Caenorhabditis elegans: one gene and its partners. The protein of the gene in region 2 purifies or fractionates together with the protein of the main gene of each other region. This does not show direct contact. Each region holds a gene or a part of one and is shown on either strand. Other genes may lie near its edges. The genes, in order: marb-1, aprt-1, clec-137 and atic-1.

Evidence for each region.
Region 1: the proteins of aprt-1 (region 2) and marb-1 fractionate together in Caenorhabditis elegans (co-fractionation; one large-scale study listed by BioGRID). This does not show direct contact.
Region 3: the proteins of aprt-1 (region 2) and clec-137 fractionate together in Caenorhabditis elegans (co-fractionation; one large-scale study listed by BioGRID). This does not show direct contact.
Region 4: the proteins of aprt-1 (region 2) and atic-1 fractionate together in Caenorhabditis elegans (co-fractionation; one large-scale study listed by BioGRID). This does not show direct contact.

What each region holds. Positions count from the first base shown.
Region 1 is NC_003282.8:12,205,149-12,212,680, forward strand, and holds marb-1 (Isochorismatase domain-containing protein 1), read right to left. Parts: upstream 3,863-7,532; 5' UTR 3,860-3,862; coding exon 3,780-3,859; intron 3,723-3,779; coding exon 3,545-3,722; intron 3,494-3,544; coding exon 3,152-3,493; 3' UTR 3,040-3,151; downstream 1-3,039. Other genes in the region: F35G2.1 (Sulfhydryl oxidase), read left to right, coding at 90-208, 257-839, 1,280-1,345, 1,402-1,965, 2,010-2,087; F35G2.3 (uncharacterized protein), read left to right, coding at 4,560-4,646, 5,109-5,393, 5,440-5,589; phy-2 (Prolyl 4-hydroxylase subunit alpha-2), read right to left, coding at 6,064-6,246, 6,293-6,391, 7,089-7,154, 7,392-7,445.
Region 2 is NC_003279.8:5,675,116-5,683,069, reverse strand, and holds aprt-1 (Adenine phosphoribosyltransferase), read right to left. Parts: upstream 4,433-7,954; 5' UTR 4,426-4,432; coding exon 4,334-4,425; intron 3,810-4,333; coding exon 3,482-3,809; intron 3,438-3,481; coding exon 3,300-3,437; 3' UTR 3,208-3,299; downstream 1-3,207. Other genes in the region: Netrin receptor unc-40, read left to right, coding at 1-215, 264-647, 697-786, 1,623-1,723, 1,779-2,249, 2,591-2,704; dnj-21 (Mitochondrial import inner membrane translocase subunit TIM14), read right to left, coding at 5,502-5,569, 5,915-6,059, 6,109-6,234; T19B4.5 (uncharacterized protein), read right to left, coding at 6,832-7,005, 7,378-7,449, 7,572-7,954.
Region 3 is NC_003280.10:4,613,680-4,621,392, reverse strand, and holds clec-137 (C-type LECtin), read left to right. Parts: upstream 1-3,302; coding exon 3,303-3,470; intron 3,471-3,522; coding exon 3,523-3,634; intron 3,635-3,689; coding exon 3,690-3,948; intron 3,949-3,999; coding exon 4,000-4,174; 3' UTR 4,175-4,241; downstream 4,242-7,713. Other genes in the region: clec-139 (C-type lectin domain-containing protein), read left to right, coding at 1-39, 709-827, 873-979, 1,024-1,104, 1,156-1,231; clec-138 (C-type LECtin), read left to right, coding at 1,593-1,727, 1,776-1,887, 1,977-2,232, 2,291-2,465; clec-136 (C-type lectin domain-containing protein), read left to right, coding at 4,860-4,988, 5,043-5,154, 5,212-5,470, 5,527-5,716.
Region 4 is NC_003282.8:7,878,110-7,887,693, reverse strand, and holds the start of atic-1 (Bifunctional purine biosynthesis protein ATIC), read right to left. Parts: upstream 5,667-9,584; 5' UTR 5,628-5,666; coding exon 5,606-5,627; intron 5,336-5,605; coding exon 5,088-5,335; intron 3,858-5,087; coding exon 3,746-3,857; intron 2,249-3,745; coding exon 2,157-2,248; exon of another isoform or gene 2,124-2,156; intron 869-2,123; coding exon 818-868; intron 1-817. Other genes in the region: srt-73 (Serpentine Receptor, class T), read right to left, coding at 6,660-6,774, 6,826-7,022, 7,324-7,434, 7,525-7,632, 7,680-7,811, 7,859-7,963, 8,015-8,178, 8,320-8,377.

The DNA of each region.
Region 1 (7,532 bases), on a different chromosome or scaffold from region 2:
GGGGGGACTGTTCGCACTTTAAAACAAGAAAAAAATGTGTCAAGATTTTGCAAATTAAAATAATTGAAGAAAATTCATAATTCTTACAGTACTTCGCAAGGACGGCCACAACAGCGACTCAAGGAAAACTGTTTGAGACGCCACATTCTGCTGAACAGATTCGAGATGCTTTGCTACGAACAGTTAGCAACGAGTACATGTTCAACAGGTTTTTTGTGTTAAATACAATTATTTACTAAATATTGATTTTTTTCAGATATCCTGATTGGCCAAACCTTGGACACATTGCCGTCGACAGCCGTACCACTTATGGACAACTTTGGGATGGAGTTCCACAAAAAGCAAACTATATGGCAATTCTATTTGAAGAGTATGATGGAGTTGGTGCTCAATTCGTTATGGATCTTATCTCCCGAAGTCACATTCTTGGTGCCCGCCGTGCACTTTCGAATTCACCACTCGTTCAGATGCTCAATATTCGCAATTTCCCAACTGTTGCACTGTTCAGAAGAGACCATCAACAAGCACTCTACATGCAAAGATACACAAATCAAACTGTAAAAGATATTGATGATGCTATCACAAATGATATGGAACAAGGTGGAAGACGTGCACCAATTCTGACGACGACGTTGGCTCCAGTTACAACAACCACTAATACTCCACTTATCGATTGTCACTCACATCCAGAACGGTGTCGTGATATGTATTATGTTTCTGAGACTGATATGCTCAAAGCAATGCGTATGGCTCTTCTCGACGAGGTCACCCGAGTTCCAGGAGCAATCCGAGGCGATAACTTCACCAATTTGCACGAGTTTATGACTCTTTTATCAAATGTACGTATTTTTTTAGATGAAGACAGATTTAGACAAGATCGAGATTTTTTTTTCGGGTTTTTTAAAAGAAAAAAATCGAAAAACGACATTTTTTTAATAGTTTTCAAAGAAAATCCAAAAATTGAACATAAAATCGAAAATTTCAGATTTCCCAATTTTCAGAAAAATCGAAATTTTTTAATTTTCAATTATTAATAGTTTGAGGATTTTCTCTGAAAAAAAGTTTTTTCAACAAAACAATAAAAAGTTTATCGAATTTCGTTTATTTTGATCAGAAAAAACATAAGATATAATTTTTCCAATTTTCAGAAAAATCGAAATTTTTTCGAAATATTGGAAAAAACGAAAATTCCTATTTTCGTGAAAAATCGAAAAACCAACACCCTGGCTTTGGATGCTATAAAAATTTACAAAAAATATTTTATCTCGACATTTTTCAGCACTTCCCGGTTCTTTCCTTCCAAAATGACATCAGAAGAATGCGCGCGAAGAGAACAACGTCTGTGGTGAGTAAACTTTTGATTGAAAATAATTTCCAAGAATAAATTTAAATATTTTTCAGATTCTTCGTAATTCTGAGAGAGCTCGTCTTGTGTTCACACACATGCGCGAATTCCTCGAAGGTCGCAAATCAATTGGTTCTGTCTCATCTGATGAATATCGTCGACAATTCGAAAGTGTGGAACGTGTCTACGCCAGCCCATTCCCAGTCAATTCGACATGGCAACACTGTAAAGGATCATCTCCAATGTATCGTGGATACACATGTGGTCTATGGACAACGTTCCACGCTCTTACTGTTCACACATATATTGATACAATCAAAGATGACTATGTGAATCCAATGAAACCACTGAGCACAATTCAGGGATGGGTGAAGAGCTATTTCGGATGTGAACACTGTCGTAATCATTTCATGCATATGACGACGACACTGTTCCCATTGAATGAACGACGAGTTCGTCATCCACACGATATGATGACGTATCTCTGGAGAGCTCATAATATTGTCAACAATCGGTTGCATGGTGACTCGACAGAAGATCCACAATTCACGAAAATGCAGTTCCCAGCACCTTTCTTATGTCCAACGTGTCATTCTGGAGGACAGTTTTCGCGGCGGCAGGTTTGTTTTTTTGGCATTTCTGAAAAATATAATTTTTTTTTCAGATAAGGAACTTCCTACTCCGCTATTATGGAAGCATCAAACCACATAATCGACTGGCAGATCAACGTCTCGCCTTCTGAACGAACTTATTTTAATAGTCTTCAAAAGACTTATATAATGATGTAAATAATCTCCTTCGTATTTATATAAGTTCAAGATGCCTTCTAGAATGCCTGCAATCCTAGCTCGTTCTCCCCCAATTTATAACAAGAAACGACTTTTTTACCTCGAACATATACTTTCACCTGATACTTCCTATCATTCGACCCCTTTTTACTCGTCTTCAATCCCGATCAGTTGTTATTTTCTTTTTTCCAGATTTCGATCGATTAGATGTTTTTTTTGTCCAAGTTTTTAATTCATTTCCCCCACTAGATTCCCATCATGATTCCTGACCACACACACAATTTGTATTACATTGATGCGGGTTCCATTTCTCTCTCCAATTTTGCATACCCCCTTCCACATCACCCATACTATATTCACTTTGTGCTTCTTCATTCTCTCGTTCTGACCAACCCATATTTTGCCGTCGTTCCACTTAGAAAACACGTTCCTCGAATCAGGAAAACATTTTTTTCGTCTGTCTGTTTGAATATTTGGGTATTTTTCTTCTCTTTTTCTCGATTCATTTCTGCATATTTCATCAACAGCTCGCGAATCCAATCATCATCATTTTGTTCGTCACAACAGATCAGATCACCCACCCATTTTATTGTCTCTGCTTCCAATTTATTTGTTGCCTCTGCCTTTTTCATTGCCACGTGGTGGCATGTGTGTTGTACAAACCTGACTTTTCTGAAAAAAAAAACTGAAAGTTTTCTTTGCACCATCGTCACCATCATTTTCGCAAACTACAAACATTGGAGGTCAATGGACTAGCGGGCTCTACTGTGTGAGCCACTTGAAATTTTCAAAGCGCATTTCGTTTCCGCGAATTTCGGAATGTTTACCCACACTTTTGAAACATGATGTGATGGTCAAACGGTGGCAAGGAGATGCGATGAAAGAAACGTTTTGCAAAAAGACTCAAATTACCACCATAATTTATGGGACGAAAACCGGTTAAATGCTGTAATTACACATAGTGAGGTACTAAACACAAATCTACATGGCAAAAAAAGAAGCCGTAAACGGAAAACATTTAGAGCTTCGACAACGGGACGAGGCCAGTATCAGGGGCTGAAGTAAGGATCAACTTCTGAACTTCCTTGAACTTTGGATGATCCGATCCACCGACAAGTCCGAGAATGGTAGCTTCAGAAGTTGTCAAGATAGCTCCAGCTTGTTCCATCTGTTTGAAAGCGAAATGACGATCAGTGTGACTGCGGCTGCTGACAGCGTCCACCACGACATGAACGTTCAAGCCACGTTCCAAAAGATCGTATGTAGTTTGAAGAACGCATACGTGTGCTTCGATTCCGACAAGGATCACATTTTGAACTTTCTTCAAAGTGTCTTCAGTTGGAGGAATGCACATGGAAAACTGAAATTTTTGGAATAAGACTGAATTATGAACAAAAATCTGAAAATCTACTTTCGTCTTATCAAAGATCGGAGTATTCTCGGCGAGACCTTCTTTGAGAGTTGGAACTGTGTGTCCGAGACCCTTTGGATATTGTTCAGTAACAATGGTTGGAATACTCAGGATTCTGGCAGCATCGATCAATCTACGCGAAGTTGTAATGATTTCTGGGAAGTATTTGATATTTGACCTGAAAATAATTAAATAAATTATTTTTGCTCATAAACTAGTTTCTTTCAAAACTTACGCGAACTTCTCTTGAAGATCACAGACGAAAAGAGCACTGTTCGTTGGGTTGATACGTGCGATCAGCTTACGCGCAGCCATCACCTGAGGAACAGAAATCAATAAAAAGTTGAGTGATTCGAAATTAAATAAATAAAAAACAAATGCAAACATCCACGTAAAACACAAGGATTTGACAAAAAAAGATAAATAAATGGACGGCTTTTCAATTAAAAAAAAATTTCAGAGAACAAAAATTAGTGTAAATTTACGGTAAACAACGCGCGATTCGTAATCTCGGAGTGTCGTTGCTTGAGTTTGTGGCGGTTTTTCAAATTTCAAATTTTTAAAATGTCTACTTTCCTGTTCAAATACTGATTTTCTACGTATTATTTATAATATATTAATTGTAAAATGTTTAAAGGCTCTCCAGGACAATTATAACATTAACAATTTGTGTTCACACCCTAAAAAACATAAATTCACCTGTTGATTCCGTGAATTTTCCCAAAAGGATGAAACACTGCACTGCATAAAATAGTTATATTTAATAACCTATTGATCAATTGATCACATTGCCCTGTATGGATAATTTAGGCAGTAGAAAGTGTGGACTACAGTCACTAATGCCAGGAGGCAATTCCAGCTCTTATTGATTCACGAACGCGGCTGAAACACTTGACCCGTTGACTAAGACGACCGGCTCATTCATTCGTTTGTTACTTATCTTATAAGACAATCTTTTTATTTTATAATGTCGTGGTTAACTAATATCTTTCAAGACGGGAATATGACACTTTCAATGGATAATTTCCCGATTCTATTCGGGTTACTGTACGCGGTTACTGTAGCTCTGTTAATGTTGCAAATAGTTGAGGAAAAGGCAAAGGTAAATTTTGTTGTTTTTTTTTATATTTTTGAATATTTTATTAGCATTATCAATGAAATTCTCGAGAGTCTGAAAATTTCTCAATTTCAAAAGTAAATTCCAATAATCGTGTTCCCCTCAAGCTATTTATTGGAGCCCCTCATAAAAAATTAAGAGGTGTTTAAAGCTGAGAAGATTTATTAAATTTTAAAATAGACAGTAGAACGGATCGAATTTTTTTTGGGAAAATGTGTTTTTTTTGAAAAAAATGCGAAATATTTTATTGGAAAATGTTTGACTTTAAAAAAAAAAACTTTCGAAAATTTGGTGAAAATTAACTAAATTTTCTTTGGAAATTTTCCCAGTTTTACTTTCTAGAGGTTCACTAAATTCCTGAATGCATGCCAAAATGTATAGAGCTAGGTGGTAGGCAGGCATGTAGGCAGGCATCTTGACATTCTTTTTTATATACAACGTTTGCAGGCTCATTACCAACTAAAATTAATGTGCGAGTCTAGTGAGGAAATGATTAAAGAGCACCAGAAGGAGATGAAAATAGAGAGAAGTAAAATCAGCAATCATTTAATCAAAATTCGAATGCATCAAAGAGATTTTGTGGCAAAAATTGGTGGACTTCAGAGAAAACTGAAAGAGCGAAACGAGGTGATAAAGGAATTGAGCCAAAAACTGGAATCATTGGAATTTGCGGAGGAAGATGCAAATGAGTTGGTTGATGATTTGGTACAAGCCAGAAAGATTATTAAAGAGGTTCGGATTTCTTACATGGAATTAAATTTTAAAACTATAATTTCAGAAAAACGAAATGATTGAACTGCTTAAATTCGAGATCGAGTTCAACAAAACAAATTTCCAGAATGACTTAAAGAGTGCGTTGCAAGGAAGTGAAGAAGAAAATAAGGAAAATAATAAAATTAAAAGTCTTTTTAAAGTTAATAATATTTAATTTGTCCATATAATTTTGAAATAATTTTTGATTAACTTAATAAAGTATGGCAAGGAAAAACTGTATGTATCAGGTACAATTACATGTTTGTTAGAGTTGTTGGCAGGCAGGCACGTAGGGAGATATTTATGCTGATTTGAATCGAATCATTTTTAATCCAAGCCACAACCGTGATTTTTTCACAGGATTTTTAAATGTTGGACTATATTTTGAATAGGTAGGAACATAGATAGGCAAGATTATAGTCATGAAGTAGACATGACTATAATCTTGGTTTGATGTAGGTTTGATGTAGGCAGGCATGAAGCAGGCATAAACAGCTTTGAATTTAGATTTCAGAATATCAAAAACTCATTCTTTAAAACCAGAACACTTTCATTTTTTGGCGATCAAATAAAATATTGGAACCGTGAAACACCAGTAAGCAACAATGAAATTAAAAAAAAAAACAAAAAAGAGAGTAAAAAATCAAATCTATGGATCATTGGCATATGGGGACAAATCTCCAATAAAGTTCTCCTGAACTTCCTCCTCCAATCCACATGGTCTTGTGAATTCTTGTCCTTTCTCGTGAATCCATTTATTTGAGACCCATTTAACTCCTAGAAGAACTGGACAAGCAGCATGACGGGTACGAAGATCTCCTTCTCCATCTCTCTGAAATATTTCCAAATTGCGAGGAAAAATAGAAATGAACACTTACTCTAAGATTATACCAGAAGAGAGCATCATTTTTCGATGGGAATACAGCAGTTCCAAGATGATTGAAGACGGTTGCTCCTCCGCGTTCTGGTTGACTCATCTGAAAAAAATTGTTTGGTTCAAGGAGAAACAGAGGGTTCGTTCTAGTTATCTGACAATGTGTTTGATCTACAGTAACTGTCGGGTTTTCGCGTCTGTAAAATGTGACGTCACACACACTTTTCTCGTAATTTAGGTCAGTACCAAAAGGATATAAACATCAGTTTGTAAACTTTTCAAATATTACTATTTTTTCATCTATTTATTTGTAAAAATTATGAACCCAATAAGTTTGAAAATTTCAAAAAAATCAAAATCTTGAGAGTGAATGTTTGACTATATTTTGAACGATTTTTGCTCTTTGAGTTTAAAGTAAATTTTGATATTGTTATTTTCAGTTTCGAATTTATCGAATTTCCAGAAGTAGGCATTAGAAAATACATCAGTTTCAGCTAAACAATCATAAAAAGAAGATAATTATTAGATTAAATAATAAAAATTGTTCGATAGAGCCAAAAAACTATAAAACCTCATTTTTAAATATCAACAGTAAAATTTTAAGACCCCTTAAAAATTTTCCGTTTTCTCACAGCTCCCACGCGCTAAAATCACAAATTTAAAAGTTCAAACGTTAAGATTCCATCACATACTTTTGGATTAGCACACCTCATGCAATAACAGCTAAAGAATTTTCATGCAAATAAAAAGTTCGTGATGGAATCTTATTAACCATTAATTATAAATGAAACATGTCTCACATAGAATAAAACAGTCGCAATTCGGTTTCCAGTATTGAGCGTCTTGAATGCATTCTTCTCTTCTTTCTATAAAATACGGAAAATTAAAATTGAATCGAAAACTCACATAGAATAACACAGTGGCAATACGATTACCATTTCCACCGTACGATTCGGCAGTTTTTCTCTGAAAATTAGCAGCAAGACAAGTCAGCAGGAAGGCAGTAAACCAACCAGTGACATGTCGTAATGTGGTTCATAGTGACCACCGAGACCGTAATTTGCAATCTGAAATTATAAAAAAGAATTGAAAATTGTTATTACCCGGGCAAAGTCGAAATGTGGGTCGTAGTGACCTCCAAGACCGTAGTTAGCTACCTGAAACAGCAACAATTTTGTTGAAAATATTATAAACTTTAATTAATATTTTTAGTAAAACTTGGGGAATCCTCTAATGCCTATATT
Region 2 (7,954 bases):
TGGCGATCCTCACTCTTCAAGTCTTCATTGGCAACCTCCGAAATATTCAAATGGAGAAATTGAAGAATATTTAGTGTTTTATACGGATCGAGCTTCTCTTGCGGACAAAGATTGGACAATTAACTATGTAGCTGGTGATAAGTTGTCACATCAAGTCAGCAATTTACTTCCAAAAGCTAATTATTTCTTCAAGATTCAAGCAAGAAATGAGAAAGGTTTGGGAATTATTTTTAGGTAATTTATATTTAATATCTATTCTTCAGGTCATGGCCCATTCTCTTCTGTAGTTGGATACACTCCATCAGGCGGTGCTATTCTATCAGGAAAAGATCGTCACAATGCACGTGGGCATGGATCAGCGGCTTCTGGCGATACAGTTTCCTTAGTCGATCAACTTCAATCTCTTCTTCACTCTAACCCATTGTATCTCATACTTTTGGCTGCGTTTGCTCTGATTCTGATCCTTACACTGATTCTTATCATAATGTGTTGTTGGAAACGATCTAGTGGTGGAGGGCGAAAGAATGGATATCAGTCTGGAAAAAAGACGAGTGCCGGAGCTGGAAGTGGAGGTGGAATAGGTGGTCTTGGAGGTCCACCTAATGATTTATGGATTAATGGAACTGGAAGTCATATGAGAGCTGGTGGTAAGTGTTACACAATCTAGGTCTTATCCAGAATTTTATTTATTTCCAGCTTCTGATTATATGGTTGATGGTCTAGCAACCGCCCATCTTACTGCTGCTGACATTGAATCACCCACACCTAGATACCATCATCTACAAGGTATTTTTAAATTCGATCTTATCTTCCTTCCAATATTTATCAAATTATCCTTATTTCTCTAACAATCTTCTTCCCACTGTGCCTACCTTAAATTAAGTTTTCTCCTCCTCTTTTCCCTTTATATCCTTAGTTTATCTCTCGTCTTCATACCAGATTCGGTTTATGGATCTATCCATGGTAGTGGAGGTGGTGGTGAAGCATCAGGCCCGCTAACAAGTCGGCCACCACGAGCTCCAAAGCGAGGTACCGGCTCGAGAACTACACCGATGGCACAATCGATTTGTTCCGCGATTGGAACTACTGAAGATGAAGATGAAGAGCCGGTTGAAGCATTAGTTTCTGCAAAAGTTCGGATTGAAAGACCTTCAGTTACTACAAGAGCCAAGGCTGTAGTCACGGGAGTCCACGGTACACAAGATTTGATATTTCGATTTGCAGTGAAAAGGATTGCTTTGCTTGGCTTATTTTTAGTTGTTTGCTTTAAAAAATAACAAAATATCAATTAACCTGATATTTCTATCCTTACCAGTAATATATCAATCTACAAAGTGTCGTGAATGTCTGTTTTGTCCAGAATCTTCAATGTAGAGACTTTCTTACTTTTACTCACGTGAATGTTGCTGTTTTTCCATTTCCCAGCCTCTCATTTACCTTGTTTTTACTTTACACGTTTTTTTCCATTAACACGGACGGAGAAGGCGTATTTTGGTATATGTCGTTTATTCAAAACAAAAGTAAAACGATGAACCTTAATACGTCTTCGAGTCATTTTGACAAAGCTAATTTGAACACAGAATTTCATTTATTTTTTCCTTTTTTTTAACGGAAATTTTCAGGGCAAGGAACTCTAACACGAAGTTATCATCAAAGCTCACAAAGTCTTGAAGGACGACAACGAACACCTCAAGTGGTTTATACAGGAACTGGAAGGCATCAGGTTGGAGTCATTTTTGAATTAATTGTTTTAAAAAATAATTCTTGAATTTTTTCAGCCGATTCAAAGAATCGACTTTGAAAGTCCTTATGGTTCATCATCTGCAATTGGATCCGCCTCGACTCCGCCTCTCCCAATGCAAGCTCCACCTTCTGGTCCACCTACAGTAATCGATGGATACCGTACTCTACGTGGAACACCTCCAAATTCATCAGCTGCAAATGCTCTTCGGTCATTCACTCAATTGGCAGGAGCAACACCACCTCCACCACACTCTGCGGCATCATCATCTTCTCGACCGACTATTATTGCAGCCGGTGGACGGCAAGTTCCAGTTGGAAGAGCAACTGCTCAACCACGTGTCAATGTTGCAAATATCTACAGTCCATTTGCATCATGCTCTGCATCTTCTGATGCAGGAGAATCAGATAAAAAGAGTGGAGAATGTATGGAAATGAGAGAAACCACACCCATTAAATCTAATACAGCTGGTTCATCGAATGGAGAGAAGATGAACACAAATATGAATGTGAGTTGAATTTTTTGAATTGAAACTTTTCCTACCACGAACTGAAATTTGAAACATTTCTAATTTTTATGGATAAAATAGAAAATTGTCAGTTTTTGAATCTATGGACAACTATAGTAAACTATAGATATCTAGAAAAAAATCTATTTAAAAATGACAGTAAATTATTCAAACATATCTCCAAAAATATCGAGAAAAAACTGGATTATTAAATGATTTGAAATTTTCTTCCAAAAAAATTATCGTAAAATTTCCAATTTTCAAAAACCGCGGACTTTTCTCTCAAAAACGAGGACATGGCATAGTTCTATTTTTATTATAAATGAAGTCAATTATTTCAGCCTTCACACTCGGCAGAAGATCTCAACGCACATCTTGAGAACCTTGACACAATGCTTGATGATCTACAACAATTACAGCACAATTTGCATTTTGAGACGAGTATGGATAAGTAATAATAATCTGGTATTTTTTTGATAATTTGAATTATTAATTTTGCATAATTATACTTCTTTTTCTACAAAAAACTCCCACTTTCATTTTACATTACGGTCATTGTTCATTCTTTTTGAAGCTCAGCTCAATTATTTTCTATGTACAAATCCTTTAATTTTTGTATTCCTACTGATCTGTTTTATCTGTTCTTATAGTACGTATTGAATCCTGATTACGAATTTCTGGTTAATTTTCAAAAATTGACTTGAAAATCGTTTGAAAGAGTTTCAAAATCCCAAAATTTCCGGTCTTCCTTTTTTTTCAGTTCATCTAATTTTTCAAGCCCCCACTTGCATATGACGAGGTATACAAATTGATCATGATTTCTCATCGCCCACAAAACATTCTCTTTAATAATTTATCAAATGATTGCTCTGTTCTCTGCTGCTCCCTTGTCATTCTTTCCATGATTTTATTATTTTTGCCTTTCACATTTTTTTAAAGATTGAAATAAGTTTGTAATGATAAAGACTTTAACTTTTATTAAAATCAATTTATATTTAGATCAAGTGAATTAACAATCGAGAAGCTTTCAGTCATTTTCAGATATGGTTATTAAGCGCTATCATAGGAGATGAGAGTTGTCAGATTAACATCCGGAAGCTTGGAACGACCATTCAATGGTGCCAGTTCTATGAGAACAAATGCCTCACCGACTTTTCCACCAGCTTTCACGACTAGATCGGTGGCAGCCTGCAAAAAAAAATTTTAAAATGTTTTCTAAAAACGTTACATACTCTTAAAGTGCCTCCAGTAGCCAACAAGTCATCGATCAAGAACACAATATCCCCATTTTTAATTGCTCCTTCTTGAATTTCAACCCGATCCTCTCCATATTCTTTCACATACGATGCTTCAATCGTTGCTCCTGGGAGCTTTCCCTTCTTGCGGATTGGCACAAATGGAACACCCAGCTGAATGGCAACTTGTGGTCCGAATAGGAATCCCCGTGCCTCTAAGCCAGCAACTGAATCCACGTGTCCAACTGTATGACGAACGTGATCGGCAATGACAACACAGAGCTCGTTGACGAGTTGAGGATTTGTGAACAATGGCATTATATCACTGAAATATAGAGAAATTTAGATTTTTCGAAAATTATCTCTTTTTGTGTCTTTTATTGTCCTTCTTTTTTGAAAAATCCTAACTTCTTCCCGTTTTTCAATTAATGATATAATTTAAAACTGTTTAAAATTATCGTAATTTCATAAGATTTTGGCACGCCATCATAAAGGGACATCAATTTATTCATATGGGTCTTGACGCGAAAAAAAGTGAAAAATGCAAGGAAAAATTACAAAACAATTACCACAAACTTTTTTTGCGCCGAGACCCATCTGAATAAATTCGTGCTAAATATGAACGCATATCAAAATCTTTTGAAATTACGATGAAATAAAAATTTAAGTTGTGCACGTGTTTTCAGCTCGACCATTCGGTGTAATTTGTGCAAACACCGTCACGCGCAAATGCAGACATTTTTGCACGCGCTGCGGTGAAATTCCTCTTGGCGAATTCAAATATTTTTTCCCGCCTTTTTTGAAAATTTTCGAGGCGTTGGTCGAGCTGAATACACGTGTTGTGCATACCGAAAATTAATGCCTTTCTTCGGGAAATCCTTCACCTCCCGGATGTGTTGCTCGATCTTGGGTCGGATTTGATCGAAACGTGGAAGTGTCATTTTCAGTCTGCAAAAAATGTTTATTATTAAATATTGAACTGAGATCTCAGCTGAGATGAAAATAGAGAAATAATAAATTTTTAATAAGGTTTCGATGATGTCGACTAGAGTTCAATTAAATTAGAGGGTATCAAAATAATGACAAAGTGACAAATTTTAAAGACAGATTATTTGGAGGTAAATTGAATTTTTATTTTAATGAATTTTCATTCAATTCTTATTCAGGAGCCATGTGATTTTTAATTGAAGAAGCGTAGGCTTTTGAAAATAATTTGTTTTTCTAATTCCAAATATCAACGTTCACATTATAAATTGTGGAAGGGAGGAATATATTTGCATATAAAAGATGAAAAACGAAAGGGAGAAAGCAGAGAAAATGGGAGAAGAGAAAAGAAGTGGGCGGAGTCTGGAGCATCTCCCTCACGGATATCAAATTAGGTTCCGTTGACGTTTAAGTGGTGACTACGCGTTTTTCCACTCAGAAAAATGGAGAAAAGTGCACCGCCTATATAAATGTTTTTTGTATGACTATCTGAGTATCTTTTAAATGGTAACTGGTCGGTTACAAACAAGAAGATACACATTTGATAGCTTATCATTTGAAATTATAACGAATGAAAAATCAATATTAATTGATAAGACATCTAAGATAAGATTGTCTGAACTGCTCAAAGTTCTTATTTTGAATTATGTTATTTAGGATAAAAGGAAAAGAATGCTGTTAGATTTTTCGCTGTTTTTTGAGGGAATAATTGAAAAAAATTGTGTTTTTTTTTGAAAATTGAAAAAAAAAATCGTAAAAGATTACAGGAACTACAGATTTATCGGAATTTTTTACTGAAATTTAAAAATGACCGAAAGTTATTGAATTTTTTTTCAAAAATAAAGAAAAGAACCGACTTTTCAATAAGTCCCGAGGGAAAAGTTTTAAAAAAACACGAAAAGAAGATTTATATCTGGTATTTCTATCCACATTTGAACTCTAAAAAAATCTGTTTAAATCTGATATTTCATTGATTCTACATCACACTAATGAAAACAAAACATAAAATAGAAGAAATAATAGTTTTTTTCGATCAGCTTTTCGATGATTCCATCAAATCTTTGGCCTCGTTGATTTTGGCAGCCAAATATGGAGATCCTCCTGAAAATGAGAAAAACATTTTAAAATCTGGCAATTCATGTTTAATGAAGCTCTAAGCTAATTTTGGAAGAGTAACTCATTATTTGCTGCTTCATTGAGCATGAGTGAGAAGAGCAAATGAGTGGAAAAAAGAGAAAAAGAATTAGGGTTTTTTTCTTAACTTTTTTTAAAGTATGAGGGGTTAAAACTAAAAAGTAAAATATTTTTAGTATTTTGCTCGCAATTTTTAAAAAGGAAAAATCCGAATAAAGTGGGGCGAGACCCGCCTTCAACTTTGCATTTCGGATAACGAAAATACGATACTTTAATTTAAAATTTCATTTCAGAGAAATTAATTTTAATTACCTCTATCTGGATGATTTACAATCATGACTTTTTTATGAGCTTCCTTAATTTTCGCCGGTTTTGCTGACGGCGCAACGCCCAAAATTTTCGCTGCTTCGGCTCGTGACATCTTTTGATCGAAACCTCCACGATAATAGTTGCTAAACTGAAATTTGGCATTTTTAAATTAAAACTTTCAAAAAATAAACACTAACAGCTCCACCAGCAACTGGAATCGCCTCCATTCCTTTTTTAATAAGCGCCTGATTTCGAAGGACATATCGAGCTCCAAATCCGACTGCAGCGAGACCCAAACCGGCAACAATTAAACCTCCCGTCATTTTATTTTTCTACAAAACAATATTTTGAATTTACTATCTTCGGTAATCCTTTTTAGGTACAGAACCTGTATTAAACAGGAAATATCAACAGATTCATCAGAATAAAAAATTTCAAACTATAACTTTATTTTGTATTGGATATTTCAAAGTGTAGCTTAAAATGCTCTTAAACTAGTTCTGGGAATAATGAGAGAGGTGGGGGGGGGGGGGGGGGGGGTGGGAAGAAAGAAGGGCCTGCCTTCTAGAGATGTTAATTTGATAATCAAGAATGAAAATGGGATCCTGTGGAGCTTAAGGTGAGATTAAAAAGAATTGTAAATTTTAAAAATTGGAAAGTTAAACAGAAAAGTGATGAAATCGATAAGACCCGAGAATTTTGTAAATTAATTTTCAAAATTTGGGATTGGAAACATAAATAATATTTGGAACGCAATGTGACAGTTTTTGACCGTAGTTTCGTAAAGTTTAGTCTGTTTTGATTAGTTTGCGATTCCGGTAGGCATAAAGGAATAATTTAACAACAGAAGAATATAGATGAATGAAAGAGAGGATGAAACGAATAAATTAATCAGGTTTCCAGATAAAAAGTTAAAAATTTCATCCAGATCTTCCACTTCCACCAGCGAGCAAGTTTTTATCTTTAACATCTTCATGTTCTTCATCCTGTTGTTGTTGATCCTCAACCATATGATCATCTGCTTCCATTCCTTCCAAATGCATTCGATGTTCATCAACAGTCTCCTCGACAATCCACTCTTGTGGAACTTCTTCCTAAAATAAATTATTATTATTATTACGAACTTTTTTATTATTGTTTAGAAACAAAATCGAACATTTTGATAAGTTTAAAAAAACCAAGATGTTTACTAAATTCGTAATTTCACTATAAATTAATAATTCAAACTTTCTTCCAAATTTGCTCGATGACAAAGCAGTTAAGTTTTTTGGAGAGTTTCGACTGCATTTCCCCAGAAGGTGTACTTTTAAGATAAATTAGTAATAAAAATGGAATTTCAGTTCTCAGTCATTGGTTTTCCGTTTACATAGCTTTGAGAAAATAATTTACAGGTTCAAGATTTTATTCTGCATTTCAAAACATTGAAGCTCTTTTTTTTGTATAATAGACTTTTTTTTAAAACGTACTCCTTCTTGATTATTGCCCACGTGTCCTTCAATAACAACATGCTCTTCGGGCTCTTCAACCATCATTTGACCCTGAAATCCAATAAATGTTTGCAAAAGGGATATCTTATTTTTATTGTTTTATCAATTTTGAAAGTTGTAAAAAAACATATTGTAATTCATATTTAATAAAATGTAATTTAACTGAAAATTACCATATGATCATTTCGATAAATATTGTTATGACCTCCAGCCTCATTGAACTTTCCATAATACATCACATGAATCGAATCCCTCAATTTTCGATTTTCAGTCTCCAACTGACGAATTCTAGCTGAAAATGCATTTTCTCTGGCTTCCGAAATAGTCTTTTCATGTCGTTGTCGTTCGCGATAATATGTTGTCAGAGTCGAGTTCGCCTCATTTGATCTTTCCAGATCCATAATCAACATTCCAAGATATTGATGATATTCATCCTGTGAGAAGTCAGCTTCTTGTAATTCTCTTAATCTCTCAGTATCGACTTTTGCATCTTCTATTGTTTGTTTGATATTATTCTCGATTTCGATAAGAGCATGTTCGGATGCTGTCGGATTTG
Region 3 (7,713 bases), on a different chromosome or scaffold from region 2:
CGAATGTCGAGAACCAAGAGGAGCTGGATGATATCAATGGTAAGTAGCTGCTCAATAAATAAGAGTATTGTTAATTAGAAAAATTATATGTAAAGTCCAACGGAACAATTTCCAGTTGACTAATATTTGCCTACAAGGTGACAGGCGCCTGCCTTTTGCATGCCCACTTACCTACTTTTCAATTGGCAGTTTAAATCTAATAGAAGGGTTTCGGTTGTGACGAAAATTTTTTTGTAGACATGCTGTTTTTCTACGTGGAATTTTTTCTAAATTTTACTGAAACTAAATACTTCAAATGACAAAAAAAGAAGACAGTAAGTAGGCCTGTAGGCAGACAAGTAGAATAGGGCCTACCCGCCCTTCTCGTCTCTTATTAAAAATACGATCGGCGTGATGCCATTTTACAAATTCTCGCAAGCTGAACAAACACCTGGAGGCAGCGATTAGCATTCGTACTATTTTGGAAAGCGAATTTTCTGGTTTTTTGAAAAATTTGGAAAATGTGAAAAAATAGAGCCGGCGGCTAAAACTTTTCTGAAAGTTATGTATTTACTAACATGCTTAAAGCCAATCACTGTTATCATTTATCAAACAAATTATGTAAATGCAACGTCATTGTTATTGAATGTAAATGCTAAAAGGCACAACAAAGCCGACAGAAACTGACAAACAACTTTTAGGCAAGTTAAAACTGAACACAAATTTCAGCTTTAATTCGAAAAAACAATAAACGAGTCGCAGTGGACGGAGTGTTCAATCCAAAATGCCGAGGTTTCAGCGACTGGCGAATGAGAAAGTTTGGAGGACTTTGCGCAAAAGAAAAAGAGGTTTTTGTTTCGAAAAGTGTGTTTCAAGTATCCCGATCGTTTTAGCTATTTATTCTGGAGGACGATCACACCGATCCAGCGTTCATTCTCACAAAGTGGTCTGGAGAACCGCCAACTTCATCAGACAAGTATCAGGAGAAGGGGGACTCTACGTAAGGAACCCAGTGGGATAAAAGCTTCATGTTCTAGTTTTCAGAGAAATTTTCACAATCGCTGAATGTCTATCTCTACATAATCTCCAGGCAATCAAGAATACTGGAAATTTGAAGGATTTTTTGTGAGTTTTTTTTTTGCAGGATTTTCAAACCCAAAACTAAAAAAATTTCAGGTGCGGCGAAGAACCAGACAAACAAGTCGGCGAGGTGCCATTCTTCGGAGTTCTGTGTGGATGTGCTCCAGTATAAAATTATTTAACTAGTGCCAAATGTATAAACAATTTTTGAATTTTTTGAAGATTTTTCAGAGAAATCTGTCCTCGAGGCACAATATAAATTGTTCTTACAATGTATGCCTAGTTTGAAAATGTATATCATGACTCGATTTTTTTTGTGTTATAAAAAATTTTCCCTCTAGAAAAAGTTGAAAAATAGGTAGAAAAATAAAATGCGTCATTTCCGCCCAGCCCCCGAGATACCGTATCATTTTGATGTATTCGGGGAATAATGGTTCCGCAGAAACGGAATCATTGAAGGGATGTACAGCTTTTTTATAGCTTTTGACTAGTACAAAAGCATACTGAAAGCTTCTTCTTGAACTCTTCATAACATGTTAGTTTTATTCTTACTATTCTTGGTTGTTCCGGCGGTTTCTGCAAAGGATCCAAGATGCCCAAAAAACTTTACTTTTGTCAAAAGAACACTAACTTTTAAGAATAATTTTACAAAGGGGTGGTGCTTGGGGGTACGTTATTGATAGAGACAGTACCCAGTTTTAAAATACACTTTCAAGATTTTCAATGGAACGGATGTGGGAAATCGTGACCGAGCCCGCTCAGTCTGTCTCTATCATAACGCTTCGCTGAGCAATCCAGAAAATTCACATGAACTTGAGATTGTTTCTGGTAAGTTGATCATGTTTTTTTTTAAAGACATGTCTTCAATTCAAAATCGCTAGGAAAAATATGCTTCTAAATGTGTAATTAATTTTTAGACGTTATTCGCGCACGGAACATTTCCCTCCCGATTGCACTCGACGGACAACTCTCTCCAAGATGCAAGGCCCTTATTTTCAGAGGCGAACAGAGCCAACAATATTTTGACCAAAGAACAGAGGAAGGAGATTGCAATATTAACAATCATTTGTTTGTATATGATGATATCAATACAGATACTTTATTTATCCGTTCCAAACTAGGTACTTCGGCTGGAACTAATGGAGGATACTCCAGTCAGGAGGACGGAGTAAAGTAAGTGTATGAAAATTTCTAGATTCAACGTCAAACAAGTCTAGAATTCAATTTACAGATTTCGTTTCACCAGAGATTGTAACGCATTAACAGATGCATACTATTACTTTTCTAATGGAACACATTTCTATGCGGTAGATGGACGAACTGAATTGCTCGGATGCTTTGGGGAAAAGGATAAGCAAAATAAACACGAATATAGTAGTGTTCTTTGTGGAAGATTCCCTCTCTGAGTTAATTGATCAGAAAAGACAGTTGTTAATAAATATTTTGGAGTTGTTGTTCGAATTCATCACTTGTGATTATATCAGAAAATACCAATTTTGCAACAAACATCAGTCGAGGATATGCATAATTTTCATAATAAGTATTTTTTGATAGCTAAAGATTGGAGCTAATCATATTTCAAAATTTACAGAGACAGGACTATTTTAAAAGTAAACTACCCTGTAACAAATCAAGAGTTTCGAAGCTTGAAATCAAAAAAAAACTTATTCTTGTAAATCATTTTATATTCTACCTCGGAAGCCGACAAAAGCTTGGTTTTAAAAAATCTAGCTTCAAAGTCTTGTTTTCAACCACAAATGTTTGTGTACATAAATTTTTGGATAGGTATCATAACAAGCAAGAGGGCCTTATGTTAGTCATAGGCTTGCACTCAGTTGCTCAATTTTGACGGCTAATAACTAGGTTGTGTTTTGTTTTACCAAAAATTATAAGCTGACAAAGAATGTGTTACAAATTTCTCTACAGTTTTGGTGTTAAATGTTTTTGATAAAAGGGCTGAAAATGAGGGTACTTTTGTTAGAATCTTTATTAGATCAGATATTTTTTTGTTTCAAAGCGCATGGTTTCAATATTCTTGACAACTTCTATCAACCTACGTGTTATATAAGAATTTCTTTGAATGAAATCATCCAACCTGATGAAGAAATATAATGCGTCGTTTCCGCTATCCAGCCCCGAGATACAGTATCATTTTGATGTATTCGGGGAATAATGGCTCCGCAGAATCGGAAACGCTACAGGGGGCGAACAACTGTTTTATAGCTTTTGACTAGTACAAAAGCATGCTGAAAGCCTTCTATGAAGTTCAGTATAAAATGTTAGTTCTATTCCTACTATTTTTGGCAGTCCCAGAATTTTCTGCGAAGGATCCAAGATGCCCGGGAAACTTTACGTATTTCAAGAGAACACCGACGGCAAAAAATAACTTTACAAAGGGATGGTGCTTGGGGGTAAGTTGTTCATATCAATGACACCTAAATAGTTTTAAAATGATATTTCAAGATTTTCAATGAAACGGATCTGGGAAATCGCGACCGAGCCCGTTCAGTATGTATCTATTACAATGCGTCGTTGAGTATTCCAGAAAATTCACACGAACTCGAAGTGATTTCTAGTAAGTTTTTGAGGATTTTTTTATTGCTGCATGCGGAAAAATGTAAAATTTCCAGAGACTGCTAGCTTGAGAAACATTTCCGTACCAATCGCTCTTGATGGACAACTCTCTCCAAGATGCAAATTCGCAATTTACAAAGGACAAGTAAAGGGTGCAAAACGATTTAATCAAACTTCTGAAGAAGGAATTTGCAATATTAAATATGAATTGTTCATATATGATGATATTAATACGGATACTTCATTCATTCGCACAAAGCTAGGTGTTTCGGCAGGATCAAACGTAAGAAGTGTACAAGCTGATGATGATATCGAGTAAGTTTTGAAAATCGACTTTCCTATTTGCATCCAACATTTCATTTTCAGGTATCGCAGTACAGCAGATTGTACCGTTTTGGAAAAAGGATCGTATCACTATTCTAATGGAACACTAAAAGATGGGCACACTAATTTGATGGATTGTATGGGACAGCTAGCTGGCTCCAAGAGGCTACCAGAAAAAAATGTCACCGCCGTTCTTTGTGGCCGATTGCCGTTCTAAGTAAATGTATTCTATCATTTCTGGAAAGATTAATTTTCAATATTTAATAAATATTATATTTCCGAAATCTTTCTGATATTTCTTATTACCTTAGCTGATTGAAAAGATAAGGTACACCCAATTTGTTTCCGCAAGTGAACTTCAGGTTATTCTTAGGCGACGAAAATCCCTGTGCGGGTTTACAATTAAATCATTTTCGCAACGAAACATTTCCTTTTACAGAGTTTTGACAAGTGTGTATACCATTTTTGTAAACTAAAAGTCAATTAATTCATCTTAACTTTCGTCTCGAACTTTTCGTTTTTAAGTTCCATCTTGTTGATAATACGGCCTAAAAATTGTAAAAAATTTCTCAAAGCTTCCTATTTTCTGTGTCAAGAAAAATCGGAGAGCTCTACATTATCTCTTTTTTGGCTTCCGGAAAACTTTTAGAGTAAATTTATAATGTATAATTTATGATAAACCTCAAGAAAATAGGTACAACAAGCATCTGCTACGTCCAAATCAAAATGTTTAGAAGAATAAATACTACGGTAGAGCATTTTGTGGGTGTTGTTGAACATCACGCTTTTGTTGAAACGATCAAATGCTGTCGGAAAATAATGGCTCCGCATGGCTTAGTCACAATTTTATCGATTTCAATAGGTACAAAACCCCGCCGAAACTTTTCAAAACTGACAGAAAAATGTTCGTTTTCTTTTTGCTATTTTTGACTGCGGTTTTCGCAAAGGATCCACAATGCCCAGAAGGGTTTTCTCATGTCAAGAGAGTCCCAACTGCAAGGAACAATCATACAAAGGACTGGTGTTTGGGCGTAAGTTCCAAGTTTTGGGTTTTGTGTTCATAATGCTTTATGACCATATTTCAGGTTTTCCAATTCAAGAACATGGGAAACCGAGACCGAGCTCGATCATTTTGCAGTTATGTGAACGCTTCATTGACCATTCCAGAAAATGAGCACGAGATTCAAGTGTTTTCTGGTAGGGATATTTTTCAATAAAAACATTTTCAGTGTTGTAATCTTCAAAAACTTTCAGAAATCGCCCGAGCTCATGGAATTGAAGCTCCTTATGCTGTTGACGGTCAAATTTCTCCAAAATGCAACGGTCGTATTAATAAAGTCGAAATCATACTTCGTCATCGATTCAACAGTACAGAAGAAAAAGGAGATTGTAATATCAAGAATAATCTATTTTTGTTCGATGATGTCAATAGTGACACTACATTCATGCTGAGCCATTACAAACGTCGACTTCCAGCTGCTTATATGGTTCATCAAGCTGACAATGGTCCAATGTAAATTAGACATAATTATCAAATAGCGTGAAATCATAAAAAATCAAATATTACAGATTCCGATTCGCCGCTGATTGCATTGTTCTAAAATCTGGAATTGTCAAGGCTAATGGCACAGAAACAAGAAAGAATTGGGGAAGTTTGGAGTTTTGTGTGGGAAAAAATGCAGTGCAGGCTTATACAGACGATGAAAAACCATATGGAAACGACGTGGAAGCAGTTTTGTGTGGAAGACATCCACTTTAATTGTTTTGAGAAACTTATAAGAAATGTGGGTCCTAGAAATGTGATGCACCTTGTCTTTAGTTTTGATTGAAAATTGTCAGCTGAAAAAATAAATTTCAATTTTTTCTATAGTTTTGTAACTTAGTATTAAAAAAATAACATTGAAATTCCCTACAAAACAGTGAAAACTGTAAAAAACAAAAGCGAATAAAAAAAATCTCGAGTCTCGTTTCCCCCATTATACATAAGTACATCAATCCCTATCCTTTCCAACATAGAAAAAAAACACGACACGGTCTATATGATGCGAATATTCGGTAATACGCGATTTAGAGATGATGGAGGAAATAGATGGGACTGGATTTTTTGTCAATTTTTTTTTACAGTGATGATGATTAACTTTTTATGGTTGGGAGGTTTTTCACTGTATTATACATATATATGAATGGTTAAGCAGGAAATGGGGGTTAAAGTAAGTGTGAAAGGAGAAGCCTAGTGACATCAGCAACAGAAGATGCCTGCCGGTGTGCCTTCAAGGCAATCTAGGCCTACCTCGTGCCAACAAACTCCTGAAGTAGGCCAGACAGGTTCGAGGTATGTATGTAGGTAAGCACACATGCCTGGAGCTTAATGAAAACTTTATGGCAAGAAAATGATCTAAACACATGCCAAAATACACTAAACCCCAAAAAAACGGGAACTTTCGAGAGGCCCAGCTGAGAGTTTAACACATTTTGTTGAAAGTAATGTGGGTTTTATAGGAAATCTCTAGCGATCAAACACTCCGAAAACTTTTGAGTTTCATGCATCTTTTTGTGACGTACTGGAAGATTTGAAAAAATTGGAAAAATCAACTGGCAATAAGACGTTTAGAAAAGATGATTGGCAAAAAATGAAACTGAACATTCAAGTGACCAAAATTTGCCAAAAAAAGGAAAAGGAAACATTAATTTATAATTGAAAGATACTTAATCTAATAAACACACGAAACCATAACGATCGTATGAATCACTGGTTTCGAGTGAAGAGAGAGAACACTTGTAGTTTTCAATTCAAGTGAGGTGTCGAGAGTATTGACACATTTATATGCACTTATTCTCATGTTTTTCAAATGGTTTGAAATGCTCACTTCCTCATGTGAAGGGTTTATTAAAGTTCTTGGAAGTTGTGAAAATTAATTGTAAGTAAAAAACTCCGAATTTGTGCGCGCACTTGAAAATTACGTTTTAATTCGGATTTAGGATTTTTGCAACTATGATTTTTTTCAACTGCTCAAAAATTTAATTTTGTTTTTGAAATTTCCAAATTTCTTGGAAACTTTTTAGGACACCGATGTCTTTTCAATCAATACAAATATGAAAAAAAAAAAAAAATCGCATGATCGAAGAGCGGATCGAAACGAAAATTGTTTTGTGTATGAGGGGATGAATGGGGGAAAATACAGAAAACCGAAACGAATTGAATAGAAAAAAATGAGTGGAAAGGGCTAGAGGACGACGGTCAGGATTATTCGTCATTCAAATGTGTGTGGAAGAGTAGATGATGGTCACCACCACTAGTCGTCAACTACAATTAGTCCCCCTCTCTCAATCTACTGGAAAAGAACGAGAAAATGAACACTTTTTGGGTGGGTTATAAGTGGTGTTGGTGTGTTGATTGGTTGGAAAAATGGATTTGATGGGTTCCAGTTATTTTACTGGACATTTACTGTGACTAATACTTAATACATTTTAGCGCGGATACAGTTAGTTGGTATTGAAAACGAAAAGGGCGGAACTCGTTATAGAGAAACGGAAACTGTGAGATAAATTTTCAGGAATTTTAAGAATTTTCGGTATTTTAAAATATAATTAGCGTGTATTTATGGGATTCGGTGTCTCATGTCCCCAAATAAAAAATTTTCTTAAATTGGCTAATTTAAAAATTGAAACTAACAAAAATAAGTTCGAATTTCCCACCGAATTTTTTTAATGTGCTATGTAAATTTCTCGTCACGAGTGGTTTCAAAAAAACTTTTC
Region 4 (9,584 bases), on a different chromosome or scaffold from region 2:
ACCATACCAAAATATGATCCAACATCCATGTTTTAAAATCATTTCATTGATAAAGTTTGTATGAAAGACTAGTAAAAGTTGGATCATATTTGATTCAGAAAAGTCTTACTTGAAAGGTATGCCAACTTCTTAATCAGAGATTTTATTTTTTAAGTAAAAGTAGTTCAAGAGATTGACATATAATTTTAAATTCCAAGTTTGAACTTCACAAATTCAAATTCAAAAAAAACCCAAGGTGAAACTTGAGCAAGACTTGGGCGACGCTTGTCAAACTTCTTATTAAAGTTATCACTTTCTGGAAAATTTTTTTATAAGGCCTTTTGTGAGGTCTCTTCGCCAGTGTTTGTTGATTAACGAATATTGCTGTAAACTTCAACAAATATAACCTTTGAAAACAGAATGATAAATTAGTGTAGAACACAATAACCAGTAGAATTTTTCTCTATTCTCATTTTTATATGGATTTCTCGAGAAATAGAAACTTAAAAACTTAGTAAATATGATAATCATCGAGTCGAAGATTTAAAGAAAATCAAATGTAAATTTAAACAATGTCTCAAAATAAAAAAATGTAAAAGCTGAAAAAAAAGAATGAATGCGCGTCAACTAGTTTCTCTTGGCCATCGTGGGGCTCCATAAAATCTTTCTGCACAAAGTTTATTACCGCTTTTGGGTTGTGTCCCATTTTCACTCATCATTTTGAAAAATTAGGACAGATAGAATGAGACTAAGGTCTCATTGAGAGAAAAAGACTGAGAAAAAGATTTGGGTGACATTCATCTGAAACTTTGGTTTACCAAAAATTGAATTGACTCACCTTTAAGGCTAGAAGTTGGCGACGTTCGCGGGTAGTTCCTCCGGATTTTAACTGTAAAATTTAATTTTAGACGTTGACGCTGATTGTTTAGATATATAGGTTGTATGGCAATTTTAGAAACACCTGTGAAAATATCTGAGTGATCTAAGAATATTTTTGAGATCTGTTTATAAATTATTTTTAATTTAATATTAAAAAAAAAGATTGGAATTGATTATTCGACCGACTTCTTAGAAAACCTCAAAAATTTTTCGTGGAATGTTTAAAAGACAAGAAAATCATGAGTTTCTAGAACTGGAACCACTGCAAAACTCTCAAGAGAGCAATTTCCACTTTTTAAAAACAGGAACAGAAAAACGTGGTAAAGTAACAAAAATAGGAAAATAGAAAAAAAGGCTTTAACACGAAAAAACTTATGACGTCGCCGTCCACCCAGTTTTGGATCATTTATAAAGAGTTGGTGTTCTCTTGAGATATTTCTTTCTTTTTTTAACCAAAAAGTGGGTTGGTAAGGGTCTTCGACGACAAATGGCTCCCTCAAGGAACTTGCGGAGCGTGTCAAAATATTTCATTCATTCTTTTAGCTTCATCTCCCTTTTTTTGGCTTTTCGGGTTAAAAAGAGAATACAAGAAAAGCGTGGTGATAAGTTATATGAAGGATCCTTGTTTTTATTTGTGGATTGCTGTGATCAAGAAGCTTTAACATCGTTTGAAGAACGAATCGATGAACAAGGAAATGTCTGTGCTCATTTTAGAGCCTACGTAATGTGCATTTAAAAAATGTAGTGACAGAAAATCACAATTAACTTGAAAAAAATAGTTCTGAAATTTGTTTAGTTAGGGATGTCAAACCGGAATTAATAGGACGTCCAGCATTCGCTTTTACTAATACTGGACGAGCAGGTACTATTTTTTCGGCGTTGCAATTAAATTTTTTTCTTTTCAAAAACCAGATTGCATGACTTTGGCTTATTGCAATAAATGAACATAGTTTTTGTTTTAAAATTCGTAAAGTTTGGAGCGAGAAGTGAAATCTGAACGTTTTTCACCACATCCAAGGTTTTCCAGTTGTTCTCAAAATCATGAAACTTTTTGGAAACATCCGAAATTGTTATCTGGTTCCGAATAATCTCTAAACAAGTAAATTTTTGGCTCAAAATATGTTCAATAAAATTAAAAAACTGGCAAGTGAACTGTAGAAAAAAAATCATATAAATATCTGATAACAATGTTTAATCATTGTAATTTAGTAGCTTAGTATTATTTCCCACATATTTATTTACTGGCCTTATTGAAGCTTTCATCGGTTGTGATGATTTATTAACCATCTAAAACTAACCTCCGAAATGATATGATCGTAGTCAGCAGGATCACAGATCACACTGACACGTTCGTGATTCTTGGCAGCTGCTCGAAGAAGCGTGACTCCTCCTGAAATTGAGAATGTAGTTGAAATCGAACGTTTCATTCTCTTTTATAGCTACAATGAAAATGGACCCACGGGGACAATTGAAGGTTTATAGATTTACTCTCTGATGTCCTACTGTACAATTAATAATAAAACCGGACACAACAACATTTTAAGAATATGAGTTTATATTGTGATATAGATTCTAGAAAAAATCTGGGCGGGTTTTACATACCCGGAAAAACAGGAAAAAAGGTGAAAGATTCATGAAACAAAAGCCCTTTTAATGGGATAAAAATGTAGGAAACGGTTGGAAAAACAAATACAATGGGTACAATTGAACGAATATTTCCACTTTTTTGTACTTTGTGCTAAGATCATAAAATGTCTATAACCTTATCCTTTTTTTAATATTAAAAAAACCATTCGATTAGAAGTTATAATATGGAAATTTCAATGATACCAAAAACTAGAGCTCAAGCTTTACGAAATGATGCATTCGTAAGATTTGCTCCTTTAAATGTTTCTGAAAGAATTTTCTGAAGATGATCACAGATTATATGAACTTATTGAGAGGAAGTATAGAATGAAAGTGTAAACGAATTATTATTTTCTCAGTTTTTTGTTGGTTGTATTGTCTTTTTTTGTGAATTCTCCAGCTTCCGTGTTAATTGAATTTATATTTTGAGGAACTAAAAAAGACGAACAAGAAGAAAATATAATTGTTTTGGTGTCAGAAAGGATTTAGGAAGGGAGAAGAACAATACATACATGTTTTCACAGTGATAAGTAGAGAACGATTTTTCAGAACCTGAACGTGCCCAATTTCACGAAATTGATATTTCAATTAGCTCAAATAAAACTACTTGATCATAGTATTGTATGTGATAATATTGCCAATTATTAAATCATTCACTAATGCTAAAATGACGAATTACATAACATAGTAAAACTTATCAAAAATCTTGAATTTTTATTTTCATCCAAAAGTGACAATTTTCCCCCTATCATAATAATGGAAGGCGACCGAAATATTATTTTTTATACAAAAAATATATTTTGATAATGTTTAAATTATTTTCAATTGAACATTGTAAGTCTTTGAAAATGCAAGAATGGTCTATTTCATTGACGAACATCCGTTTTAACTTGATTGAATTATTAGCTTGAAGTAGAATTACACCCCTTAAAATTATATGCTATTCCAATGAACTATAATATTTGGTAACTTATTTAAAAACAGGATGAACACTTTAAATTTGAAAAAATTCAACTTTTTAATCTAGGCCGTATGTTTTGGTTATGAAGTTCTGCTAAAATGATTTTCTGATTTCAATTTAAGCTGTTCCTGTGAAAAAATGTTGATGTTTGGTTTAGGGTTAGAAGTCACGAAAGGAGCAAAATAAGTCAAGTGCATAAATTGAAATCAAAAGGAACAAGGGGAAAAAGAAAGATGGCAACATAAAACAAAGTCAATTTTCCGGATGAATAAACTCAAAAAAAGAAAGAAATAAACGAACCAATGTCAATGTTCTCAACAGCTTCTTCTACAGAGCAATCCTTGGATTGAACAGTTTTTTTGAATGGATACAAGTTGCAAACCACCACTGAGACGAATGAAATGTTGTGTTTCTGGAAGAAAGAAAATAACCAAAAAATACAAGGAAGGAAAAGAAGATGAAACAAATTCAATTGAAAATAGAAAGAGAAGGTAATTGAATAGACACGGGCGGTAGAAACTGACACGTAGGCTTGCTCTCGGTGCATCATAACAACACCCCAATCAGTTGTGTTCGTTGATTTTTACGCCAATTTTTATGGATGTTCCAAGTTTAATTTTACTCTATGGTTGATGACGAAAGTTGAAGGTTTACAGATTATCTCACAAAAATCTTATTTTCACTCTGAATTGATAAAATATTTCTAAAAATACACAATAGAATTTCAAATAATATAATGTTCCTGGAGTATTATTTTTTGATTATCTCAGAGATTCAATGTTTATCCTGAAATGCAATATGACTGTAATACAATTTTCCGGCAAACAAAGTTTTTTGACTAATATTTTGCCGTTCTCCGTTCAACTGAACGCTAACTTTATGAAATTTTTTTTCGGTTTCTAATTAATAATTTAATTTTAAAGGTGACATATCTCAACTTTGTCTCAAAGTGTTCTAGCCATCAGGGCTGGCACTTTAATCCCAACAAGAGGCAAGACATAGGTTGCGAAATGCGCAAGTAACAAAAAATTGATTCAAAAAAATCCGAAAAAACTCTCTAACCCGTTTTCCAAAAAATTGTAATCCAACTTCAAAAAATTAACAAACAATTGTCAAAGTTTCAGATTAGACTAACTTTTTTTTTAAACAAAAGCGAGATATAATGTTTATTTAAAAAAAAATTATATAATTCGAAATAAGAATTGAAATTTGAATGAAGTCGTGACGACAAAATGAAGAAAAAGAGGACGAAAAATTGTCTTCTAATCTTCTTTTTGTCTCCTTCTCAACTCTTTATTTTCACGAGATAAGCCTTCTTCATCTGACGAAAGGACCAACTTTTTGTCACCCGTTAGCCCTTCTTTTTTTGGTTTTTTTTCTTCACTTCATTCTATTCAATCATGAATTCGATTAAACTAAGTAATGGTGAAATCTTTCAAGCCAGTACAAAGTTCATTTTGTGAGATTCCCGGAAGTTCTACAAAATCCGATCTTTTGTCAGAATTGTTTTGCACAAATGTTGCAAATTTATTTATTTCCACTTAATATAATTTGCAAGTTTCAGTTGAAAACGGTTCGACAACAAACAAGTTAGTTTACAAATAAAAAAAATTCAAAAAAAAAAGAAAATAAGCTATCTCACCTCTAGATCCTTTCGATCACTTTCCGTATCTCTTGCCAAGATTCCTCCATGAACGGCAGGATGCAGAGTTTTAACTCTTCCACCAAGCATCTCAGGAAACTTTGTTACATCTGCCACATCATGAACATCAATTCCTTGATCTCTGATCGCTTTCGCTGTTCCACCGGACGCAATAAGTGTTAAGCCAGCAGATACAAGTCCATGAGCAAGAGGAATAAGTCCTGTCTTGTCAGAGACCGATATAATGGCTGAAAATTAAAAATGTTTAGCTTTATACTTGCAGTTTATTTTAGTTCATTATTGTAGTAGTTTTCATTTGTTAAATACACAAAAAAGGGTTTTCCAAATCAAGGAGCGAGGTGGGTGAGGTTAGAGGCGGGGAAGAGGTGCCCCCGTAACGCCTCGACCTGGTGGAATGTCTAGTTCAATAAATAATTTTAAAGAATAGAAATGAATTATATTTATTCCGGGATTGCTTGAAAAATTAATTTAAAAAAATTCAAAATGAAATTACTTACCAAGTGATTTTCCGTCGGTCATTTCACACAATTCGTCGATGTATTGTATCAAGTCGATAGTCTTGTAAAATTCAATTTCTAACATTTTGTTTAATATTTTTTATTCGAGACGTAAAAATCACACAAAATAAAAAATGAACAAGGAACCAAAAAACACTAAAAATAGAAACTTTTGAGATAATCACAGGAAAACGATGGATGAGGAGAGCATGAGTTTATGCATTTATAAGTATTATTTTGTGAACTTTGAAATCTTGAACATTTTTGGAAAAATACACTCAGAAATTGGCAACTTTTTCAATGAAAAATGTCTTTTAGACTGGTCAAATTGAACAGTGTTGCTCAATTTTTCAATTGATAAGATAAATTTGATAACGAGGCAAATATTATTGTGTTTTTATTGCTTGTAGATGAAAGAATTAATAATCGAAAAAAAATCAGAAGTAGAAAATAAAAAGAACTTTGAAATCGATTTTAAATATCGCAAATATTATATAACTTTGAAATCTGTGTTGGTGTTTCAAAAACCAATAAAAATCTAATGTTTCTCTGTTCTTATAATAAAATCAAAGCTTCGAATTGGAGATATACGTACATTAATTTTTTTTTCTCGATTTGCCAGAAAATCTTCAAAATTTCAAAAAAAAATTCAATCGGTAGTTTCCCTTGATAACAAAACACAAACATTTTTATTATGAAGTGATGGTGTCTCTGTTTTACGACGGTTTTTATTTGTTTCTGTGTGTTATCAGTTTATCAATGTTTTACTTTGACAAAAGCTTTTTTACTCTGTCCACCTATACTTGCAGAATATTCCTTAAAATTGAAAATATCGAGAGGATCTGTTTCCTCTCATTTCAGTTGTTAGCAGTAAATTAGGCTTCATGTAAAAAGATTTCTGTGTCTAGATTTCATGGACCTATAAATAAATGTTTGGAAATCGATGACAAGAAATAAATTGTTTTTATTTCTAGACATAATTATTTTTTCTAATGATATCTTTCTATTTCTTAAATTCTAAAAACTAAAAGTTATATTTTATTTGAAGACCTGACTACATTTTAGCTCCGGATTGTCGAACTGTTGATACGTGCGAAGCAACAAACATTGTACGTCCACTGACTTCTGTTTGTTTTCCAATTGATGCTAATACCAGGTTACGAATACGACTGCAACTTTTTTTAAAAATGTTTTCAGTCAACCAAAGTTCTAAAACTTACGGATTAATTAATACATAAAGCATTGAATTGATTGAATTCCAAATCATCCATACAACATGTCCAATGAACACTCCAATTGGTAATTCCCATGGAATTGGTAGATATTCCCATGTCAAATACCCAATAACATGAAATATAGAAACACATAATACTTGAATTGTCAATATTAATTCTTTCTTTGACAATAATGCTGCTTTCTGAAAATCAACAAATGTTGAAAAATAATGAAACATTAGCTCTTCTGAAGGGAAATGAAAAGTTTCAAAACATTCTTAATACAAATATCTGCCCTTTGTTTGCGACTACTGTGAAATTTTTTTCATATACCTAAAACGTTTTGAGATTTGACGAATTGAAAATTTAATTCGAAAATCATGGGGTAGCTGTAGATGATATTGTACTTGAAAGTTTTTTGCATGAAATACTGTAGAAACAGTTTTCGATAAGTTTTTTTCTTCAATTTTCTTTGAAACGAAATTATATGTATGTTTTACTCACAAAATAAATATAACTGAAGATAACCAAATGAGCAAATAATGAGAATACGACATCTATTAAAGATATATCAGCACTTACAGACCTTAATACAGCTGATAATGGATTTGAAGCCTGGAAATAAAATTGAAAAGTTGACTATCATTTGGCAATATGCGAAGCTTTCGCCAAACATAAAGTGGGACTTCTCACAGTTGTACTCACGGCATAGTGCCACGTGTAAGCAGGTAATAAATAAACCATTCTACTGAATCCAAAAGCATTTAAAAAACAAACTATACACCATACAATTAGAACTATAGTGAAATATATCTGAAAGGACGGAATTGAAAAAAAGATAAATCATGTTAATAACCTACTTTCATATTGAAAGAATTAAATATTTTGTTGGATTGAAAATGAAAAACAATTGAAATGAGCCGATTAATATTTAAAAATATGCTGAGAATGAGCATTGAGACCCATGATGCATTCATCACAGCTCCGATTAACTGAAAATAAAAAAAAATCAGGATAAGATCTGCTAACGAAGACATACATAATCGGGAAAATCAAAGTGAGGTTTAGAATTTAAAATGTAGAATACTGCAGTTAGATGTATAAATAATTGAATTGTGTCAAAGAAAGATATCATAAACATTATCTGAACATTTCGCAATGGCTAAAGAAACAAATCATGAATTATATTACTCACCTGAAATGCAGATAACTTTTTTAAATCCTTGTCAGTTATCATAACACGCATTACCAAAAATTGAAGAATTATAAAGAAAGTACAAAAAATTAGAATGAAAATTGCATATGGAACTTCTCGCTGCCAATAGTCTTCATTAGAATATACTGGGAAATCAACAACACCTGAAAACCATTTTATATTTGAACAATTTTTGAAATTGTTATTGAATTGCATCCTAGAGAGACGATCATCTAAGCATTTTTAAACTAATAAACTTACTAATAAACTTTAAAACTTTAAAATAAACTAATATAATAACTTACCGACACCAACAAATTCCAATGACAATTCATTAGGACTTGTCGTTGATGTCTTATTCATGGAGACTTTTTAGAAATTGTACTATTAAAAAATGAACTGAAATATTTCCTGATATAAATTCGAAATACGAAGGTAAAAATGAAAGATTGGAAGTAAAGACTAGTTGCTCAGATGTGCTTTGAAGCGACAAGCAACTCCCAAAAAATGAAATTAATATTCCAATATGAAGAGAAATATGTGGATAGAGTAGAGTCAAGGTAATGAAATTGTCAATTTCCGCGGATATTTTTTTAGTGTAAGATCATGGGTTCTAGGAAAATATTAACAAAATACTGAAGTTTATTTCAATAATTTTTGTGGTAGTCTACGTAACAAAATGTTGGGAAACGACCCCTCGCCCCGAGTTATATGGGGTCATACGATCAATTTTCTTTCTCAGAATCTATTTTTCCACTGCGAGCGATTTTTTTGACTTAGGTATCTCTATTTAAAAACCAGAGGAGTTGAAAATTGTCTCAAAATTTTTGACAATTTGGCTTATCGAATTGTAAAAAATTCGGATTGTCGACCAGAATTCCTCCTTCTGAGGGAAAAAGTTATCAAGAAAGGCTGAAGCTATTTACTAGAATGTTGAAAGATTTATAATTAAATAATGTGCGGAATCTATATGACATCAATGTCACTGCCGAACAATACCAACTAAAAAATAAGTAAAGCGGAAGAACAAATTCGGAACAGTTCACGTTCGCAATGTACGAAATTTTCCGATCCAGGTGGAAATGTATGTAAAGTTATAAACACCTATTTCTGCCCCACTTTGAAAAATACGTATACAATAAAAATTATTGATTCTTAATGAGTTTTGACGTCATCACAAAGTTTAAAGATCAAACATTTTGAAAATGTATATTTCTTCCGACATTAAGTAGCAAACATCAGTGATTTTCACCCAAAAGGAAGAAAAATGATTACATATTCCGTGAGAAACTAGAAAAAATAAAAGGATCAACTTTGTAGAAAACTCAAAGTTGCAATTTAGGAAGCGGACGCTGACGCAACAAATTTACAATAATTTTTGCAATATGAAATTTTTCTGTTCGAGATCAGCAAGATTTTAGCAGTGAAAGTCAAGGATTCAGAAACTAAACCCTTGATTCCGATTACGAGTTGTATGGGGTCATACGATCGATTTTCGTTCTCAGAGTCGATTTTTCAACTGCGAGCGATTCTTTTTGATTTAGGTATCTCTATCTAAAAAACCAGAGAA